2 linked regions of the Macaca mulatta genome follow. The protein of the gene in region 1 interacts with the protein of each later gene in a pairwise test. Links are inferred from orthologs where the notes say so. Each region holds a gene or a part of one and is shown on either strand. Other genes may lie near its edges.

What was found.
Region 2: the proteins of CCDC158 (region 1) and GPSM1 interact in a two-hybrid assay, tested with the Homo sapiens proteins (2 studies listed by BioGRID and IntAct). The link is inferred for Macaca mulatta from reciprocal best matches to the Homo sapiens genes CCDC158 and GPSM1.

Annotation. Positions count from the first base shown.
Region 1 is NC_133410.1:57,404,710-57,409,272, forward strand, and holds the start of CCDC158 (coiled-coil domain-containing protein 158), read left to right. Parts: upstream 1-1,692; 5' UTR 1,693-1,813; intron 1,814-4,563.
Region 2 is NC_133420.1:6,169,736-6,173,544, reverse strand, and holds part of GPSM1 (G-protein-signaling modulator 1), read left to right. Parts: intron 1-252; coding exon 253-368; intron 369-957; coding exon 958-1,113; intron 1,114-2,102; coding exon 2,103-2,211; intron 2,212-3,255; coding exon 3,256-3,379; intron 3,380-3,809. UniProt on the Homo sapiens protein: Guanine nucleotide dissociation inhibitor (GDI) which functions as a receptor-independent activator of heterotrimeric G-protein signaling.

The sequences.
Region 1 (4,563 bases):
AGATCACAGAGCTAGGATTGCAACATCCAGAGACTTGAAAAAGTGTGATTGAGAAAACAGACACTGAGAGTATGTGAAGTTAATAAGCAGCTGAATTTCCCTCTCTATGGTTTGTGGTTTCTTAGACTTTTTTTTTTCCGCAACATTCCAATCAAATAACTAGAGTAGAATAGTTACATAGATATAACTTTTTATTTTATTTTTTTTTTGAGACAGAGTCTCCCTCTCTTGCCCAGGCTGGAGTGCAGTGGCACGATCTCCGCTCTCGGCAAGCCCCGCCTCCTGGGTTCACGCCATTCTCCTGCCTCGGCCTCCCAAGTAGCTGGGACTACAAGTGCCCACCACCACGCCAGGCTAATTTTTTGTATTTTTAGTAGAGGTGGGGTTTCACCATGTTAGCCAGGATGGTCTCGATCTCCTGACCTTGTGATCTGCCCGCCTTGGCCTCCCAAAGTGCTGGGATTACAGGCGTGAGCCACTGCACCCGGCCTAGATATTACTTTATAGAAATGTAAGGCTCCTTTTAATGTGAACTTGTTCGTAATTTTAAATCAGGCAGAACTGTTCAAAATAGACCTTGGGCATATCAGAAGAGGCCAAGGTCTCACCTCTGTATTTTACTGAGAGATTTAAAATAAACACATGTAAATTCATGTTATGATCCCCAGTTCAACCAAGTGCAGAGCTTTTAGACAATTTTATGATTTACCAAAGCAAAAAACCTTGCTTTTTCTAGAAATCTTTAATCATTTCATAAGCTTTATGCCTGAAAATAGGAAAAATATTTCAATTCCTATAGTGTCACAAAAGTATAGAAACACTGATGACTTGACCAAATTGAGGATATATGGTCAGTCTAAAATAGTGAAAATGAATTACAAATATTATTTAAATCCTGATTTTCATTACTCTAGAATACACACACAAAATAACTACCAACATTGGCAACAGAGGTACTAAGCATCCTCTTCACAAATAAATGGTTGTTTTAAAACTCTATTTTAAGTGAATAAACCTGTGCTGCCTTCTGTAAACTACTAATTTTCTAAGAAAAAAATTCACCTTTGAAGGACTGCTGCTTTCCAACAGCCTGTTATTAATAACACAAGCATTCATACTGAGTTATGATAACACAAGCATTCATCATCTTACTTCGAAGTAAACAAGTGTGGTTTCAACATCAGAATATTCTAAAGCCAAACCTTCCTCTTTCTTCTTTTCTCTATTCTCTAAATTCTAGTTTCAGTTCTGCCTCGGTCTTAGATTCTGTTTCCTGCTTAATACTAAAGTCTTTGATAGTGAATTACTATATGATTTGCCAGTATTTGGTTGTGGTTCTATACCTGTCCTACTCATTTCTTTATGCTTCTAATCTCTAATTCATGATAACATTATTCAGCAGTTTGAATTTTCTTAGTGTCATTTGTTATCCTGAAGAATCCCAAAATGTATCATTTTAGTGTATCAATAAAATTATACAACAAACATTTACAGTGAAACTCGTTTAAATGAGAAGTCATGCTTCTTGTACACAGCATAGCGTCATTTTTTATAAGCCAATTTGAAAATCCTTTTCTTTCAATGGGCAAGGTTTTTTTTTCCTCAAGTAGCAGTCTCTTCTATTTAGAACATTTAAATTGCCTAGCAATCTTGACTAACATTCTACTTGTTATAATTCTTTATGGAATATCTCCCTGTCTACTACTTACTTCCTAAAAAATGATAGCACGAAACGTATTAAGGTAGATATGTTCTATCGTTGACTGTAGTTTTTTTTGACAGGTGGCATCTCAGTAATCAAAAGGAAGAAAATGTGAGTATAACAAAAATGAATTCAGTTTAATAAAAACTGTTATGCTCAAGGTTTTTTAAAAAAATTTTTAAGCACTTTATGCTGACAATCATGAATTAATGTAAAAATGATAAGCAGTGTGTTACCTGATGTTCCTCTTCCCATCACGTTAGTGGTCCTCACCCACATCTATTTTGTTTTGTTTTTTAAAGAATCAAGATTTTGATTCATGAATTTGACCAATTGTTTTTCTTTTTTCTATCTTAATTTCTGCTTTTGCATTTATTATTTCCTACTTGTGCTTTCTTTTAGTTCACCCATTTTTCTATGTTTTTGTGTTAGAGACTTAATTTACTTTTGTTATTTCATTTTTATTGATATATGTGTCTAGGGCTGGGAATTTTCATCTTTTTACTATTTTAATGTATGTCACAGATTGATATATACTATATTCATTATTATTTTTCAGAAATTATTTAATTTCAGCTTGTATTTCCCTAGTCACACAAGAGTTGTTTAATAGAAGGCCTTTTAATTTCCCAGTGGAAAGACCTTTTTAATTTGGAGATTTTGATTTTAATTTTTAGCTTTATTATATTGTGACCAGAAGGTGTGGTTTGTAACATTTCTACTTTATGGAGCCTACCAACCTTTTATTTGTGCCCCAGAATGTGACTGATTTTTGTGAATGTGTCATGTGCCCTTGGCGAGGAAAGTATATTGTCTGTTATCAAAGTATAGTGTTTAATATATAGCCTAAAGGTCAACCTTAGTGATTAGTTCTTCTAAATCTTTTATATCTCTACTTATTTTTTGTCCACTTGGCCTGTGTAATACTAATTGTCCGTTAAAGCCTCCCATTATTACTGTGTTTGCAGTTCTTAGCATATCTTCTGTGGATTTATGCTTTATCCAAGTGATTGCTGTGTTATGTGGTACATATCTTTATTGTGGAACGTGGCTTTTAACTTCAAGTGCACTGCATTTTGTTTTAGTTAATGCTCTCTGGCTTGAAGACTGCTTAGTCTGGTATCAGGATTTTAACCGGTGCTTTCTTATTGTTTTCATTTGCCTGGAAAATTTTTGTTCATCCTTTTTTTTTAATCTTTTTGAATCTGTGCGATTTTAGGCATACTTTTTTGTACTTAGAAGAGTTGTTTTTTTTGAAAGCCAATTTGAAAATCCTTGTCTTCCAATAGGCAAGTTAAGTCCTCTGACATTTATCAACATGACTGGTCTAAATTCTGTGGTATTTTTTTCACACCATTATATTATCTTGTGGGTGTAATTACTGAATGTGTTATATTTGCTAGAGTTTCTTTATTTGGTGTTTCTTCTTTATGTTTCCGTTTAGAATTCTTTGTCATTTAAGAAGGTTTGTATTTTTACTCTAGTGGTTACTTTTGTACTTATGCTTTTTATAGTGCACTTTTAAAACCCCTTTTTCTTACTTGACCTTTCCTTTTTGTCAGTTTTAAGTGGTGTCCTTCGACTACTGTCTATTCCATTTATAACAGTCAATGGTCTTTTACTTTCTGCTTTTCTTCCTCTTCCTTCCGTTTTTAGTTACATTTATTCTCCTTTGTCATGCACATATTTATATCACTACTCAGTGCCATTACCTCACCTTTGTTTTTCTCAACTCTATAACTGAATATTTAAATATTCACCATCCGTCCCCTTGCAGTTTTCGCAGTCTTGTTTTTTAAATGTTTGTATTTATCCTTTTTTTCCAAATTTACTTTTAAAAGTTTAGAACCTACACGAAACCTTGAAGATCTTCACCAGTTGCCACATTTTACAGTGGTCTTTTGGGTGAATGAGGCTCATCTTCTCTAGTAGAATCCTCAGCAGAGGCACACGGCACAGTGTTCCGGTACAGTCAAAACTGCTTTTTTTTGTGGCTTCAGACGTTTTGAAGGACATCTTGGCTGGCTGTAATATCCTTGGTTTGTCCTTTTTTTCTTTCTTGAAAGTACTACTACACTCTTGCCTTACTGTGTGTGTTGCTTTTTAATAACCTAGTGCCAGTCTAATCTTCTTGCCTTTGTAAATTATTTCATCTTTTTTGCCTGGAGGTACTGAGGATTTTTTCATTATCTTTAAAGTCTTAATATTGTTTTAATAGTGTATGTCTCAGAGTTGATCATTCTTGGTCACCTTTCCCTAGTATGGAAAATGTGTAGATTCAGGTCTTTGTATCTGGAAAATTTTCTTGGATTATAGTTTTAAATAATAGTTCTGTTTCATTGTTCTATGTTTTTCCTTTAGGAAACCCAGTTATATTCAACCTTATTTACCTGTCTTCCATTTCAATCCTCTCTCACACTTTTTTTTTTTTTTTTTGTCTTCTTTTCTTCCTTTTTGTGGAGAATGAGGTCTTGCTCTGTTGCTCAGATAGGTCTTGAACTCCTGGGTTCAAGCTATCCTCCTGCTTCTGCCTCCCTAAGTGCTGGGATTACAGGTGTGAGCCACCAGGCCCGGCTTTCACCCTTTTTAGTTCTTTATTTTATTTTTTATTCTAATGGTGGCTTTCCTGATTTTCTTCAGTGCCTTTATTAAATTTTTATTACAACCTGTCATTGCTTGTATACTTTGTGATTCAGTCATTATTTCTGATATAATTTTGTTTTTTATTTCTCTGTCTTTCCTAACTTTAATCAATTCTCATTTAATCTCTTCCTGTTTGTTTGTTTTCTTGTTTCGTTTCTTGTCCATTTTTATTCTTTGACTTTACATTTCTAATTCAGGGGTGATTTTTCATACCCCTA
Region 2 (3,809 bases), on another chromosome or scaffold:
CGGGCTGCGGCAGGGGCAGGGCTGAGCCACCCGTCTGGCGGTCCCTGAAAGCAGGGCGGGGTGCTGTGGCCCGGCAGCAGGCGCACCCCACCGAGCCCCGGCCTCATCTGCACTTGGTCCTGCGGCTCCTACCTGCTCCCCCAGACACACAGATCTCCGGCCAGCCACCTGGGCAGGGAGGCAGCCCCTGTCCACCCACATCAGGCCCCAGGGCTGCTCCATGACTGCCTGGCCTCGGGTCTGTCTCCGCAGCGCCTGGCCATTGCTAAGGAGTTTGGAGACAAGGCGGCCGAGAGGAGGGCCTACAGCAACCTGGGGAACGCCCACGTCTTCCTGGGGTGCTTCGACGTGGCTGCTGAGTACTACAAGTAGGTGGTCCCCACAATCTCCCAGGGAAACAGCAGGACAGGGGGAGCTGGATGCCACACCAAGGAGGTGCCCGCCCCAAGGTGGGAATCTGACTGCCTCCCCTTCCCTAACCAGAAGTCAAGGTGGGGTTCTAGGCTGCCCCGGGAAGGGCAGATGGACAAAGCTCATGAGGAGGCAGGTGGTGGGGGAGCCGGCTTATGGGAGGTCTGGGCCATCTGCCTCCTGGCCTGAGCCAGAGCAGTGCCTGCCGGGTGGAGCCCGGCTGTCAGCACTGGGTCCTATACCCAGCCCTAAACTTAGCCCCATCTCAGCCTGAGCACTGGGCACAGCAGTCCCAGGTCCTCCAGGGAGGAGTGGTGGCTCAGGGTAGTCAGGCGACTTGCCAGAGCCTGCCAGGACCGCCTGTCACCCTGGAGCCAACAGTCCGGCTCTGTGGCCATGTAAGGGTGGGGATGAAGCTGGACCCCAGAGAGGCCCCAGAGGGATTCCGGGGCAGGGGACCACTGGGCAGACTGCGTCCCCATTCTTATCTTCCACCCCTCACCCTGGAACCCTCCTCCTGGGGGCTGACCTTGCCACTGTTCACAGGAAGACGCTGCAACTGTCTCGGCAGCTCAGGGACCAGGCGGTGGAGGCGCAGGCCTGCTATAGCCTGGGCAACACGTACACGCTGCTGCAGGACTATGAGCGTGCGGCCGAGTACCACCTGCGGCACCTGCTCATTGCGCAGGAGCTGGCCGACAGGTGCGTGGCGCGGATGCGGTGGGCAGACCCGGCCCGGCCCACAGACTGAATCACCGCAGCCCAGGCGAGGTGGCCGGGGTCCCATCCCCTGCTCTGCCACTGACCGTGCTGTGACCCGGGCAGGGCAGCACCGCTGTGGGGACCGAGCCAGACAGTGTGGACACAGGGCTGGCTGCTGACTCCTGGCACAAGTGGGTGGGGTCCTCCTCCCATCACTCAGTTCGCCACCCTGTTGACCCCCACCACCTGTGTATGTATGTAAATATCAGTCTCTGGACAGAGACAGGCTGGCAAACCACAGGCCCCTAAGTACTGTCCTGTGTGCAGGTCTGGGGTAAGTGGTGGCCAGAACAAGAGGCTCAGAGCCACAGGCCTGTGGCCTTTCACAGGCAGCGGAGAGGAGGGGCCTTCTGAAAGGCTGCCATGCCTGGAGGCTTAAAAGTGGCCCAGGGTTTTCCTTTGTGGGGTGGTGATGAGAATGTTCTGGAATAGACAGAGGTGCCGGTTGCACGGCATGAGTGGACAAAATGCCACTGAATCGTCCACGTGAAAAGGATCACATTCCTGTTAGATGCATTTCCCTCCAACATAAAAGCAACCCCCTCACCCAGTGACTTGGGGGTGCCTCTGAGGGTGGAGGGAGTGCAAGGAAGCTGGCCGCCAGGGGGCGAGCGAGGCCAAGGGCCCAGAAACTGCCCACAAAGGCAGAACTGGCCACAGGCCAGGTTGCTTGGGCTCTGTGCACTAATCCTTTTAATGGGAATGAAAAAGGCAGAGCTGATTGGGTCTTCTCCTTGAAGGTGGCAGAATTTGTGGGAGGTCCCGGCTAGGGGCGTTATCCTGCCCTCCGGTCTATGCTCCTTGGACCTGGGGGCCCCGATGACCCTCGAAGCCAGGGTCATGCTGGGGCCCTGACCACCAGGGGAGGGGCTGGGGCTGGGGGCAGGCCTGGAGAGGGCGGGTATGAATCCCGTCTCCCTCTCTGGCAGAGTGGGCGAGGGCCGGGCGTGCTGGAGCCTGGGAAATGCCTACGTGTCCATGGGGCGCCCGGCGCAGGCCCTGACCTTCGCCAAGAAGCACCTGCAGATTTCCCAGGAGGTGAGCCAGGCCTGCCCCCAGGGGCCCCGGGCACTGCCCAGCCCACTCCAGACGGGCCGGGTTCACTCTGTCCCGAGCAAGCGTTTGCATGCCTGGGCTGCCCCTCATCCTTTCAGGGCCGTTGCAGCCGCCTGGTCCTTCTGAGGCCTGGTGACAAGGTGTCTACCGCACCTGGGGGTTTTTCCCGCAGCCCCCAGCTGATGCTTTCCTGGACAGCTGCGTCTCCTCCTCCTTGGAGAGGTTGCACAGGGTCTCTGTGGGCTCTGTCCATTAGCACCCTCCTACTGTGGTCAGGGCGGAACATCACAGATGAACTCTGGGCCTCCCAGCTCCTGGCTTGTCCTTACATCACGCACTCCCACGCCACCTCCCTCTGCACACCCTGAGTCTGTTCATGCTAAAGATGGTGCCAGCCCCTACTGACCACCATAGCCCCGTGTGGGAGGTGGCCGGGTGGGGAGGCCTGCAGGTGCCCAGGTGAGGGTGGAGAGGGGCGGGCATGCAAAGGTCAGCAGAGCCCTTGTCTGGAGAGCTTCTCCACTGGCAGCCAGGAGGCAGCCCCCGTGTCCCTCTGAGTGCAGGCTACAGCCTCCAGGGCCCTCCAGGGCTCCATGTGGCAGTGCCTCCCGTGCCATGTCACTCTCTCTTCTGCTTGACTTAAGCAAACAGTGCCTGAGAAATGTGGATGTTCCTGGGCGGGTCCCACGGAGCCTCAGCGCACAAGGGCTGAGAGAGGTGCAGCCGGGCGGGGCCGGGCCTCTCGCGCACCAGAGGGCACAGGCCTGGCTGCCTGGGACCCCGTGCATCTCTGGGGTGGGACTAGGGGCTGTTGAGGACCTGTAGGGCCACCTCACCCAGGGACAGAGCCCCAGACTCCACCTCCGAGTCCGCAGTGAGTCCTGGTTCCCTCAGGCCCAGGGGTCAGTGACCAGTTCAGGTCACTGAGGTGGTCAGGGACAGGTGTACTGGGGGCCATTGAGGTCCCCTTGGAGCCCACAGCAGGGCCCCCGGCCACACTTGCCCGCTCCGTCCCGCTCACTGCAGATCGGGGACCGCCATGGGGAGCTCACGGCCCGCATGAATGTGGCACAGCTGCAGCTGGTGCTCGGCCGCCTGACCAGCCCAGCAGCCTCAGAGAAGCCTGACCTGGCCGGCTATGAGGCCCAGGGTGAGTGCCAGGGTTGTGGGGGGGGTCTTGCTCCCCACAGGCACAGACCGGATCGGGAGCTGGGGAGGGGTGGGATAGAGGCCAGGCCAGCATGGCTGAGGTGGCAGCCGCCAGAAAATGGCCCTGCAAGCCAGTTCTTCTTGGCCTCAGGGACAGCACAGGCCTGAGGTTCACTCTGAGCCCCTCCCACCCTCGTCCTGGGTGGCGCCGCAGGGCTGCTGGCTGAAGGACAGGAGGTGGTCACCTACTGCCCGGCTGGCTGCTCCGGGGCCTCCACTCCCCACCTGCCCCTGGAGCACTTGGTGCAGGGAGGGCTTCTGTCCTCAGACCCAGGTGGGAGAGGGCTGCTGGGAGGCAAGAGGGCATCAGCCAGAGGGCTGGGCTGGGCTGGGGGAGCCCCATGTGCCTGGGGCGGTAATCAGGCAAGGCC